Neodiprion lecontei: one gene and its partner. The protein of the gene in region 1 purifies or fractionates together with the protein of each later gene. This does not show direct contact. Links are inferred from orthologs where the notes say so. Each region holds a gene or a part of one and is shown in the gene's direction. Other genes may lie near its edges.

What was found.
Region 2: the proteins of ubiquitin thioesterase trabid (region 1) and sarcolemmal membrane-associated protein purify together in Homo sapiens (affinity purification with mass spectrometry; 3 studies listed by BioGRID and IntAct, with this or other methods). This does not show direct contact. The link is inferred for Neodiprion lecontei from reciprocal best matches to the Homo sapiens genes ZRANB1 and SLMAP.

What each region holds. Positions count from the first base shown.
Region 1 is NC_060260.1:13,808,098-13,812,920, forward strand, and holds the start of ubiquitin thioesterase trabid, read left to right. Parts: upstream 1-1,581; 5' UTR 1,582-1,714; intron 1,715-1,877; 5' UTR 1,878-1,989; exon of another isoform or gene 1,990-2,011; intron 2,012-2,092; exon of another isoform or gene 2,093-2,153; 5' UTR 2,154-2,330; exon of another isoform or gene 2,331-2,336; intron 2,337-2,741; 5' UTR 2,742-3,134; coding exon 3,135-3,895; intron 3,896-4,461; coding exon 4,462-4,737; intron 4,738-4,823. Other genes in the region: NADPH-dependent diflavin oxidoreductase 1, read right to left, coding at 1-696, 975-1,060. UniProt on the Homo sapiens protein: Ubiquitin thioesterase, which specifically hydrolyzes 'Lys-29'-linked and 'Lys-33'-linked diubiquitin. Also cleaves 'Lys-63'-linked chains, but with 40-fold less efficiency compared to 'Lys-29'-linked ones.
Region 2 is NC_060263.1:38,398,736-38,405,453, reverse strand, and holds sarcolemmal membrane-associated protein, read left to right. Parts: upstream 1-2,133; 5' UTR 2,134-2,494; coding exon 2,495-4,849; 3' UTR 4,850-6,163; downstream 6,164-6,718. Other genes in the region: G patch domain-containing protein 11, read right to left, coding at 1-514, 621-846; zinc finger CCCH domain-containing protein 10, read left to right, coding at 6,628-6,718. UniProt on the Homo sapiens protein: Associates with the striatin-interacting phosphatase and kinase (STRIPAK) core complex, forming the extended (SIKE1:SLMAP)STRIPAK complex.

The sequences.
Region 1 (4,823 bases):
AAAAACTGATGTACTTTTTCAGCAGAATTCTTTGGCCTCAGGTAAACAACATCCCCAGGCTCATACTTGGCATTTTCGACATGAAATTTCAGCAATCTAACATCCTGAAAATGATCGATTGAAGTCATTCTAGTCGTTTCAATAACTCTGCCGACTTTGATGGTATCATGATTCATATATAATTCATGTCTATATATATCGTTGCGTGAATATGCATCTTCTGCAGTAACAGAGCTGCAATTATCAATGAGAGAGACATTAAATTTGGTGATGATGTTATTTTTATCACTCATTGGGATTCTTGTAGGAATATCAAATAATGTAGATAAATTAGTCCATAATTGTTCAATCCATGGTACTGTGACAGCATCAATACCAAGATCGTGTTGATCATCGGCCAATCCAATGGATAGAATCTCTGTTCCACCTAACTGAGCTAGTCTTTTACTTAATTTTTTCGCAGCAAAGTTGTACTTGACATAGGAACTATCTCCCAGTCCTAGTACTCCATAATACATATTGTGCAGCGAGTTTGCCAGTAAGTTTTTCCGCAATAAAAAGCGCCAAAATTTTTTCATGTTTGTAGGTGGGTCACCTTGACCAGCTGTGGCAACAACGAATATAACTATTCGTTCGGAAATCAAATTTTTTATATCATAATCGTCCATTGAAATGACAGAACAGTCCGCACCAACTCTGAAAACCAAGGATGGAATTAAGATTTTCATAAGTGTATGAGAAAAACTTTAATTCAATAACGCAAGTATCATAATCTTATGCAAATAATTGTAGCTACAAATGGACAAAAGCACGTTCATCTTGAAAAGTATATTGAGAAAGACGTGTTTTCTTTTTTTATTATTAGTAGTTGTTATCAATTCTATGCGAAAATTGAAATACTACGTACACATTTGTACTATGTTACATTTCGATCCGAGTTTTTTCTATCAGACATAAGAGTATACGAATTAAACCTTTTGGCATCTCTCCAAATTTGTTCTGCCACGTCCTGAGCCGTTCCAGTTTCACTTCCATATAATATTAAAATTTTCGATGTCATTTTAACAATTCCTATTATTCATGAGATATATAAGTACTGAAATGGACCGACCAAAGAGGGAACGACAAGCTACTTAAAAGACGATTTTTTAGGGTTAAGTTTTCAACTGGCTTAATCTTGCGACATCATTTTGTACCAAAAAATAACAGCAGACAACGCGCGAGTAGGGAAATAGTTCCTTGGTTATTTACTTGCATATTAATCATATCTTCGACGATTGAACAATAGTGATAGCTGTTCGAGAAGTTGTATGTATTATTTGACAAGGAAATGTCAAGGTCAAATGTCTAGGCTAAGACCCATATGGCGTAGAGCCAGAAATATATAAATAAATGAATTAGACATGCACGGCACACAGTCATTCAACTAGCGCAAATTGTCTACGTTTGGCTACGTTTGGTTTGACATCATGCAATGTGAAAGTGTCCGATTCACTGATCTCTTGATACTGGCGATCCAATTCGTCTTGAGATGAGGATTGATAGTTTTGCGACAACGTTGAGAATTGGCTGTAAGGATTTGGGGAAAAATATCTAATAATAAGTAGCGAATGTCAGATGCAAAGTGGAGGTAAGCGTCGAAACGTTGTTCAAAAGTAGGATACGGATATCGTCGATTGTAACATTGCCAATCTAAAAAGCCATATACCGGGTGGTGAGTAAAACGCTATGACAATGTACTTTATTTTGTTGTACTGACATTGCATTGTGTAATAATTGAAAACAGACAAAATATTTGAGAAATATTCAAGCACTGCATGATTGAAAGTTGCAAAATACACAGAGGGATAGACCGACTGCGTATAATATTATTGCAGAATTGGAATATTTGTTGATGAAGGTTGGCACCACTGGCTGTTTGCGAATGACTGTCAAAACCTACTTTCCCCATAGAAGTTCCCGAGGAAATACGATGTCAATCTCGTAGACGTGAGTAACTCTCGTGCGAGAAGTGAGTCTTCACTGATTTAACGCTCCATTATTCGCGACATGCTTATTTATCATTTTTGTCTCGCAACGTGAAAAAGAAAAGGCGATAAAAAAAAGAAACGCACGACGCAAACCCTTGTCAAAGTGCACGTAATACGTTGCAGTGGGGTGCTGGCCCAGAGCAGTGTCTTTCGTGCCTATTCTTTAACCAGTTTGAGGAACGAATGGAGTATTCTGGCATGTAACGAGATATTCTACCAGGATCTGGGGTATCCTGTCCGAGGCGAGGAATTACGCAGAACCAACGTCTCTTGAAATCCATTCGGTAGTGAAGAGAACAGGTCAAGGTTAACCGTTTTCCTCGTTTTTACGAATACTTTTTCCCCAGACTGTTTTGTTTTGATTTTCGATACATGTACATAATTTTATTATTTTTTGATAAAATCTGGTGGGAACTCTTACAATATATCTTTTTTTCTCCTGTTTCATCTTTCGGCAACTTGATGGTCATTATTGCTTTAACACTTCTTTTTTTTTTTTTAGCAAAACATGTATCGCCATAAATTGTTCACTTTTCTCTTCCTTTACTGGTTTTATTCGGAGTTAAAGTTTAGAGAAAAAGTCGCACTGTCTGTCATATTTGATTATTCATATGTACATTTTTTAAATCTTTATATGTCAAAGTGTTTTATCATTTTCTGCTGTTGAATAACTAGAGAGTTATTGATGTTTTTTTCTCTCCAATATTTCAGATAACTGCAGCTGCTGGTGGTTTAATATTCTCGCAGCAGCTTCTACCCTGTCAAAATCTGTCAAAATGTTCATCACGTGACATCAGCCGTCAAGAGATATGGAAAAACAATAAATTAACAATCCGCATAATTCCCAAGGAACAATTCAAGAAAAAAGGCCTATAGAAAAAAAAAAATCATCCCATTGTACTAACAAATGCTTTCTTGGTAATATAAGCAGAGGAAAAACTTTTCTTTAAAGAATACAACTTTGATCCATCTCCGTTAGTTAGTGACAGAAATTACCAAATTAAGATTTTAAAGCAATAGTATCGATCGATTAGTCGAATCATTTTATAAGTTGAAAAAAGTTGAAGGAAAAAAAAGTAATAGTAACAATCATAGGGAATTAAAATGAATAATCAAGGTGAGCAGACGGAGGGTAAATGGAATTGCGAGTATTGTACATATGAAAATTGGCCCTCATCTTTGAAATGTACAATGTGCAGAGGGGCAAAGCCTTTATTCGGGGAAGATATTTATCGTTTGCGCGATCCAAGTCCACAGCGATCAGGTTCTAACGTAGCGTCTGGTCCAGTACCTCAAATAAGTCAGTCAACAGACTTTTGCAACCTAAGCCCTCAAAATTACAGCCAAAATTTGCCTTCAGGAGGTAAATGGGCCTGTGACTTATGCACCTACCTCAATTATCAAAATACAAATCGGTGTGCGCAGTGTGGACACAAGAAACTGGTAAATCACTCCACATCTATACATTCGACAGCCTCAAATCTACACGAACAACTAGCACCATTAAGGCTGGGCGATCCCCCGCCTAACCCAGGGTCAAACCTACAGATAAATTCTCCGTTAATTAATTTACATCCTGAAAAGTACTCCTATGCGCAGCTGAATATGCCGTTGTCTAATACGCAGCAAGAGAAATGGTCGTGTCCGTCGTGTACCTATGAAAACTGGCCAAAAGCTACGAAATGTATAATGTGTGCCCATCAGAAGGAAAAAGAAAGAAGAGAAAGATCCATTACTAATCTAGGACTTATCCTACCCAGTCCTGACCGGGATCAGTGTCAGAAAGGCCTTCCGTCTCCGTCTCCGCCTCATACTCCGTACATCCATCAAGCTCATCGAGATGAAAACTTGGCAGTAGCCAAAAGGTACATGTATTGGCTTGCAAAATCGTGTTTATAAAACTTACTAGGTATAATTACTACACAGCTGTTGATTTACTATATATTTTTTCAGCCATTTATTGCAACAATAATTGAGACATTTACAGTAGTAATCCAATAGAAGATGATTAAAATTACGTAAATATGGATTCTTCAGTATTTATTTCGTTTTGTACATACTTTTAGAATACCGTGTGATAAACGAAGAAATAAAAGAAATAATTGAATGTACAATGAAATGAAGTATTCTTAAATTTTAATCAAGTTGTATACTTTATAATGCATCAGACTTTTAATTGACACGCTAAGAAATCACTCGTACTGCTCATTCAAGTAAAGAAAAGTAAGAAAGTAAAGATACTATTTCGAAGTTCTAGGATTGTGAAGCTTATGAAATAAAATCACTAAGTCAATACATTATGAGATGCCGTTCAAACTGATGCCATATTATATCGATAGTGATAATGATAGGTCGACTAAAAAGTGAAGTCAGAAAGATGAAATAGAAAGATAAAACAGGAAATTAACGCATTTGTATTTTATGGTTACAGAAGTTCTCATAGATATGAAAGAAACGATACTTTACCGGCTCCACAATCACCCAACAATTGTGAATATGAACGCAGATTAAAACAGCTTAGGCGTCATACAGACTGGTGCTGGTTAAACGCATGCCTCGGCATAGTTGAAGGTGATAATGCACCAGTCGAAGCTTATTTGGCAAGCGGTGGAGACCCTGCTCGTCAATTGACGCATTCCGAAGTTCTCCTTTTGAACAGAAGCAGCGCTTTTGACATTGGGCATACTCTAGTTCATCTGGCAATTCGGTGAGCATGGAAATTTATGTTTGCATATTGTATTAAACTGCATATTGAGGAAGATTTTGAATTAATTCAATATTTAAATAATAAAA
Region 2 (6,718 bases), on another chromosome or scaffold:
AAATCATCTACATCGTCATATGCTGCCCCGCACCATATGCAATAAAAATATTGATCTCTTAGGTATTTGGTTAAAATTTCTAATTTTTCACTAGCTGGTATCCTGTAGTGATCATCTTCATTTTCATCTTCATCCTCTTCACTTGATTCCACTGACTCGTTGTTTTCAGAGTCTTTTTTCTCTTCTTCCACTATCGGCCAGTACCAAATTTCTACAGGTTTGTCAATATTATTTTGATTATCTAGCTGCTCGCAGCTGTTTTGACTTCTACGTAAATCAACCTCTATCATCTGCTCGGTTTTTCTCTGTGAAATTCTTCCTCGAAAATCATTGGCGTTAAAATTATCCTCTTTCTTCTTCCCATTTTTTGTTGCTGACGGTTTTTTCTTCGGTGCTCTGCCTAAGCCCAGCCTATTTGTCTTCAGATCAATCGAAATTGGCTCGCATATTCCACTCTCCTTCTTCCCGATTCCTTGCCCAGGTGTGTATCCCATTTTCTCCAATAATTTAAAACCTGAATATAAGTAATAGTGGATATAACAGTTTCGAAAATAGTTCAAGTAGGATATTTGTCTAGCTCCAAGTGTGCAGAAATATAATTACAATGATTTGAGCTTGACCTTTATTGTCACTAGTGATGGCAGATGCTAGTCCTTTATCTCTCGTTTCCTGTTCTATGACCCGTACAGACACATTTTTTTCCTTTAATCGAGCTTCAATCTCTGCCTTCTTTTTTAAAAGATCTAATTCCCGTTGATCTGAGCGACGACGAGCGAGAATTGGAGTGCAGTGTTCTTCGGTAGCATGGAGAAATTTATCAGACATGTAATCTTCATCATCGGACATGATTTATTACCTACCTGAAAATTGAATACAGATAAGTAGAAATGTAAAAAATTCGCAACCACGTTGAAGACTAAACCATTGTTGTGACAGACCTGATGAGTGAACATAACGTACCGATAAAAAAATTAATTAACAAGTGAGGCTCAAGATGGTCGTGACAAAAGTTCCCTCATATGTAATACCATAAACACTCAAATTTCTTCGATTCTTCCCCTTTTTTTTCGTTAATCTTCTGTCAACTTGCTTTTGAGGTTATCTTCAATTTCTACTGATAATGATTTGACCAAGTTATTCAAACGATCTTGTCACAGGATATTTTTCAAAAAATTTTACTCGCGCTTCTCCATTTGCACGTAAGATTCGCCTAGCCTCGCATTCAGGTTGATTGAAATACTTTGAGAATATCCATGTACGATGAACTCGCTCCGGTTTATGTGGGAAATTATGCATACAAATGGTCATGTGATATTTTAAAAGGACGTACGTCACACATACACATATTCATACGCAGATACATCCGACGGTCGATAAACGGAAGAAACACCGGAATCGGAATTCGGACTGACTCTCAAGGAACAAAGTGAATTCGGACCACTGTGTTTCCGCAGTCCACCCGTGTACAATATTTTGTCTTTCAATTGTTTATTTAATTGCTCGTGTAGTCTCTTATTCCCATACGTGAAGCGTAGAGAACTCCGAAGGCGATGCGATCAAATCACTAATACCATCAGTACCGAGTAAAGTTCACGGGAGTTCAACGCAATTGTTGAGAGAGCGAAAAAAATATTCTGATTCTGTGTGTCTGTAGAGCAACATCTCGATCTCGAGACATCGGAGATTTCGCGTAATTATCGTGTTAAAAAAGTGCTTTCTACAACTACACCTTCGTCGCTGACCCCTTGAACGTTCGCCGTGTGTTACTTACGTTGCATTACCATGTTGAAACTGTGCCTGACAAATAAATTATATCAAATCTTAAAGTAACAAACACCGTTCACTGTTCCGTGTTTTAAGTAAAGTATTTTCGTCTTGATACCAATAACGCAGAGCTGCTGCGAAAGTCGAGTGTGATTAAACTTGGGTGATATAATTTGACAAGCGTAACACAATACGCCTAGCGAGTTCCTACCGAGTGATGATTGTCCGTTTTTTATGCCGAGTTATGGCACGCTATTGTTAACGCCGATGAACCCTACGAGCCAGTTTAACAGCTATTTTCGTTGTGTGGGCGTGTGCAGCTTCTATCCACACATGGACTCGAACCATGGTACATGGTATCCGAAATTTTTCGAACATACAGCTTAAAGACCTTTCACCTTAAACGAGTTGATAATGTTATTGGGCGATAAGTTTCAAGCCATCTGGATAGGCGAATGAACTGAGAAAAAGTGACATTGACGTTTATGTAGTGGTGTACACAATATGAAGATCAATATTAATCATTGTAAAAATAATTGACGAAGATATAAGCTGCTGGAAATCTTATCGTGCATCCAAATGTGAAAATCCAAAATTAACACCAAACTAAACTAATCTCAACACTTTGATGAAGAAAGTGTTCAACGTACGATTAACCTACTGCCGTAACCACTAGCCAATTAATATATTTCTCATAGTTATATCCGTTAAATAAAGTTTACAATAGGTTATGGTTATAGCTAGTGGGGGTTGGATTCAAAATGCTACTTATTCGCCGACCCCGAACAATTCCAACCTGAACACTAGTAACACGCCAAACAACAAGATGGCTGCTAAGGCAGTTTTGATTTGTCGGGCAAATTCCCATCCATTTCACGAGCGCACCGTTTCGCTCGAACAACCGGTTAAAATTGGTCGTTCCGTGGCGAGAGCTCGAGCTACGCCGAACAATGCTATATTCGACTGTAAAGTGCTTTCGCGAAATCACGCCTTACTCTGGTACGAGGCTGGTAAATTTTATATGCAAGATACCAAGAGTAGTAACGGAACGTTTATCAATAGCCAAAGACTTAGCATAGGTGGCGAAGAATCAGGACCCAGGGAGGTGTGCTCTGGTGATATTGTACAGTTCGGAGTCGATGTTATGGAAAACACGAGGAAGGTTACTCACGGATGTATCGTCGCTACTTTAAAATTGTACCTGCCTGACGGTAAAGAAGCTAAAGCTAGCGTTAGCACGTCGGTTGCGAGTCCTACGAGTAGTGTATCCCTGGAGGATTTGTACAAACTTAATCAATTCTTGCAAGAAGCTAACAGACGGGAAGAGGTCCTTAACGGCAAACTTCATCACCTCCAAAGACTGGTAGAAACGACAAGACAGGCAGCCGATCAATCGTGGAAAGCTTTGATTGACGAGGACCGTTTATTATCGCGTGTCGAAACTGTCGAGAGTCAGCTAGTTGCTTATTCGAAGAATTTTACAGAGGATAAGATAAGGAATGAGCTTGTTAAACTCCAAGAAGACAAAGCACAGTATCAAACAGCGGCTAAGGAAGCTTTGCAGAAAATATTGCAGGAGAAGTTAGAGGTGACACAAAAGTTTGCCAATCTTGAAAGGCAGCTTAACAATACCGAAGATGAGTGTCAGAGTTTGCATGAAGTATCCAAAACTACGCAGGCTGAGCTACAGGAACTAGCAGCTAAGTATACCGAGGCCCAAACTAAAATAAGCGAATTTTCTAACAAATTGGTAGAGAGCGAAGACAAGATGAAGGACTTGGTAGCTCAAGCTGAACAAGAAAAGAAGGGACTGCTAAAAAGGATCAAGGATCAGGCTAGAGTGGAGAAAATCTTGCAGTCAAAACTGAGGGACTTCAGGTATGACTCTACTACCATTCACGAGAAAGTGACTGCACTTAGAAAGCACCTCAAGACTCTGCAAGATATGAATTTGGACCTTCTTACCGACGAGGCCCAGCTTGCCGTTAACAATATATTGTACAAAACAAAGCTGATGTCTATAGAAGACTTTGATTATAATGAGGAGTCTAATTCTTACGCGAACAAAATTGAGCATGACAATCAAATTAACTCAAACTCTTGCAACAAGAGCAATATCGACGTATCATTATCAGAGATAGATAAGATTGTAGGGTGCATCCTGGACCCACCTTCCAGGAGAACCCTGGTCAATGGAAACGCTAATTTAGATAATTTAGACACCAGCGTAGAGTCTGACAATAACTCTGAGGTTAGCGAAGACGCTTGTACCACCACCAGCGACGATGGCAGCGAAAAATCAGTCGTCGAAGTGAAGAGAACCAGCGAAGAAAACAGCACACCAACTAAAGCTGCCGGTCAGCCAGCTAGATTATTAGAGGTAAGATTTGCTTGCGAAGAAAATGGTGAACCTTTAGAGGTTCATTATGATCCTGTTGAACAAACCGGAGAGGAGTCCGAGGTTTCGAGTTTGACAAGTGATTCAAAGGATATTAAAAATTCAGCAGAAAGTGAATTCGAAGACATTGATAAATCTTTTGAAGTATGCGATAAAGAAAAGAAACGTGAAAATAGTGAGGAGCGTGACGAAGATGAAGAAGAATGCGGCGAGGGTGAACATTTAGATGGAGATTATATAAAGACTTTAAAACCGATATCGAAAAACGAGTCTGCACAACAAAGTTTACAGTCTAAGGAATATACTCTTCAAACTTTAATTGGCTCTTTGGACTCCTTGAAGGATGAAGATAACTATGAGGCACAGCAATTAGCTAATAAGGAGCTGGACGACCTTAGAGAATGGCTGATTCACGAGTCTAATGAAACTGTAATAAGTAAACTAAAGGAGTTGTATTATCGTGCTAAAAATGAGACTCAACGTATTCAAGAAATAAACGAAGAACTTGTCATTCTTAAAGAAAAGTGCAACGCTTGTACAGAAGAGAATACAGAACTAGTTAAAGGATACGAAGCTCTTAAAGCTCAGTGTGGAGATCTGTTGAATGTTACCTACACAGTTCCCATACAATACGTTGCACCAATCGCAATAGCATTTTTATGGATGCTGTTTGAAAAAATATTCTAATGTTCTCTAACTCTGTACATAGTTATTGTTCATACTATTATATTTGATTTTTTATGATGTCACATGTTAAGCATATTATTATGAGATATAGTATAAAGTAATTATCATAATAACAATAATAATAATAATACCAAGCATTACAGGATACTCCAGCATATTGTTTCGGTTGCAATTGAGAACCTTTTTTTATACGAAAAGAAAACAAACATAATAAATAAATTAACAGTGTACATATATACATATATTATATTTAACTCTAAAAGTCAAGGATGTGAAGATAAGTTTATTCGCTTCCATTATGAGTAAACATTGAATGGAAGCTCAGCATCTTACCATTTCAATTCAAGAACCAGAAAGAAATCAAATATTTATATTATTTTACTTCTATTTATATCCTTTACATCTTCAGTACACATAAAAACATTCAAGCATTGTGCCAATTCTTCGGAGTTGGAGATGTGTTAGAAAAATATATAGACAATACTGACGTACCGTATAAAAAATGAATAACCACTTTGCCAATTTCAATACCATATCGTTTTTAACGTATAAAACGTATTTCTACACTGAAAAAAAAAACGACATGCAAATTTATCGTATGTATCATTGATTATTATGCATTTTCATTTGCAAGTAATCGTGATAATGTATATTGGTAAATAAAATAACTAGAATGCAAAATTTTTTATAACTTAGCACGGAGAATCTTTTATACTCAAACTAAGTGAATATTCAGGAAAATTCAAAGATTTATGCAAATATGTAAAATTTATTCTCTACTGTACTAGCTGATATCACGCACTGAATATTGCCTGTGGAAAGCACTTGGTTCTGTTATATGTTAAATTTTATTGTAATAAATACATTAATGCAATGTTAATTGTTAGCTGGTAATTATGTTCTTGTTATTTAAATTTTCACAATATGGTTTACAGAACACCTCAATGTGGTATTGATCAGTATGGGCCTAGAGTTATTTTCATATTGGCAATAAATAAAATAATGGTCTCTCTTAATTATTCGTCGTTTATAGTAGATTAAAAATTTATTATATTTTCTTATCATGTTAGTTTTTGTAGTGTGCCATTGATTAATTCGATTCTTTCCATTTTGCAAAAAATAACTGAAAGATGTTGCACTATCTTTCCAGCGTAAAATGCAGCATGTTGTAGAATGAAACCAATTTGGAAGGTTTGAGATAGAATATGACGATAATAGTTATTAAATTCTGTACATATTTTGTTGATATAATATTAATACCTATGTAACAGTCACTATATAAAACGAAATAAAATTAAATTAATTGAAATTTTATTAATCCGTCTTACTATATCCTCTTGTAATTTGCACTGTGCTATCGCTTTCAATGTCAGCTTAAGCAGCCTTTAAAGTCAATTATTAGCCCTAATTAATTCTAGGAAGCATTGTTTTTTTAAAGTAGATATGAAATTAACTTGGATAAAAATGCGTTGAGCGAAATTTTTTTAATCATATACCTCTTGCATGTAATAGTTAAAAGTACAAATTAAGTATACGCATAATGAAACTAGTTGAAAAGTAATGAGGGATTAATTTTTTGTTGTAAGTAGTATAAATTTAATTATTGTATTGCATATAGTATACAGAAATTTATATCAGTACTTTGTGTTTAATTTACAGTCATGGATACCTAGCTGGTTCTAGTTCACTGAGTCATAACTAAAATCATAAGGACTTCCAATGCCATGCGGGCAATAATATTCTTGACAATAACTGGAATGTGCCGAAAACACTAACACATGGCAGGTGGTTCCAGTTCTAACGGAGATTCTTCTCCAAGTCGAGTATGTAGAGATTTTCTGCGCAACGTTTGCCACAGAGGGAAGCGAT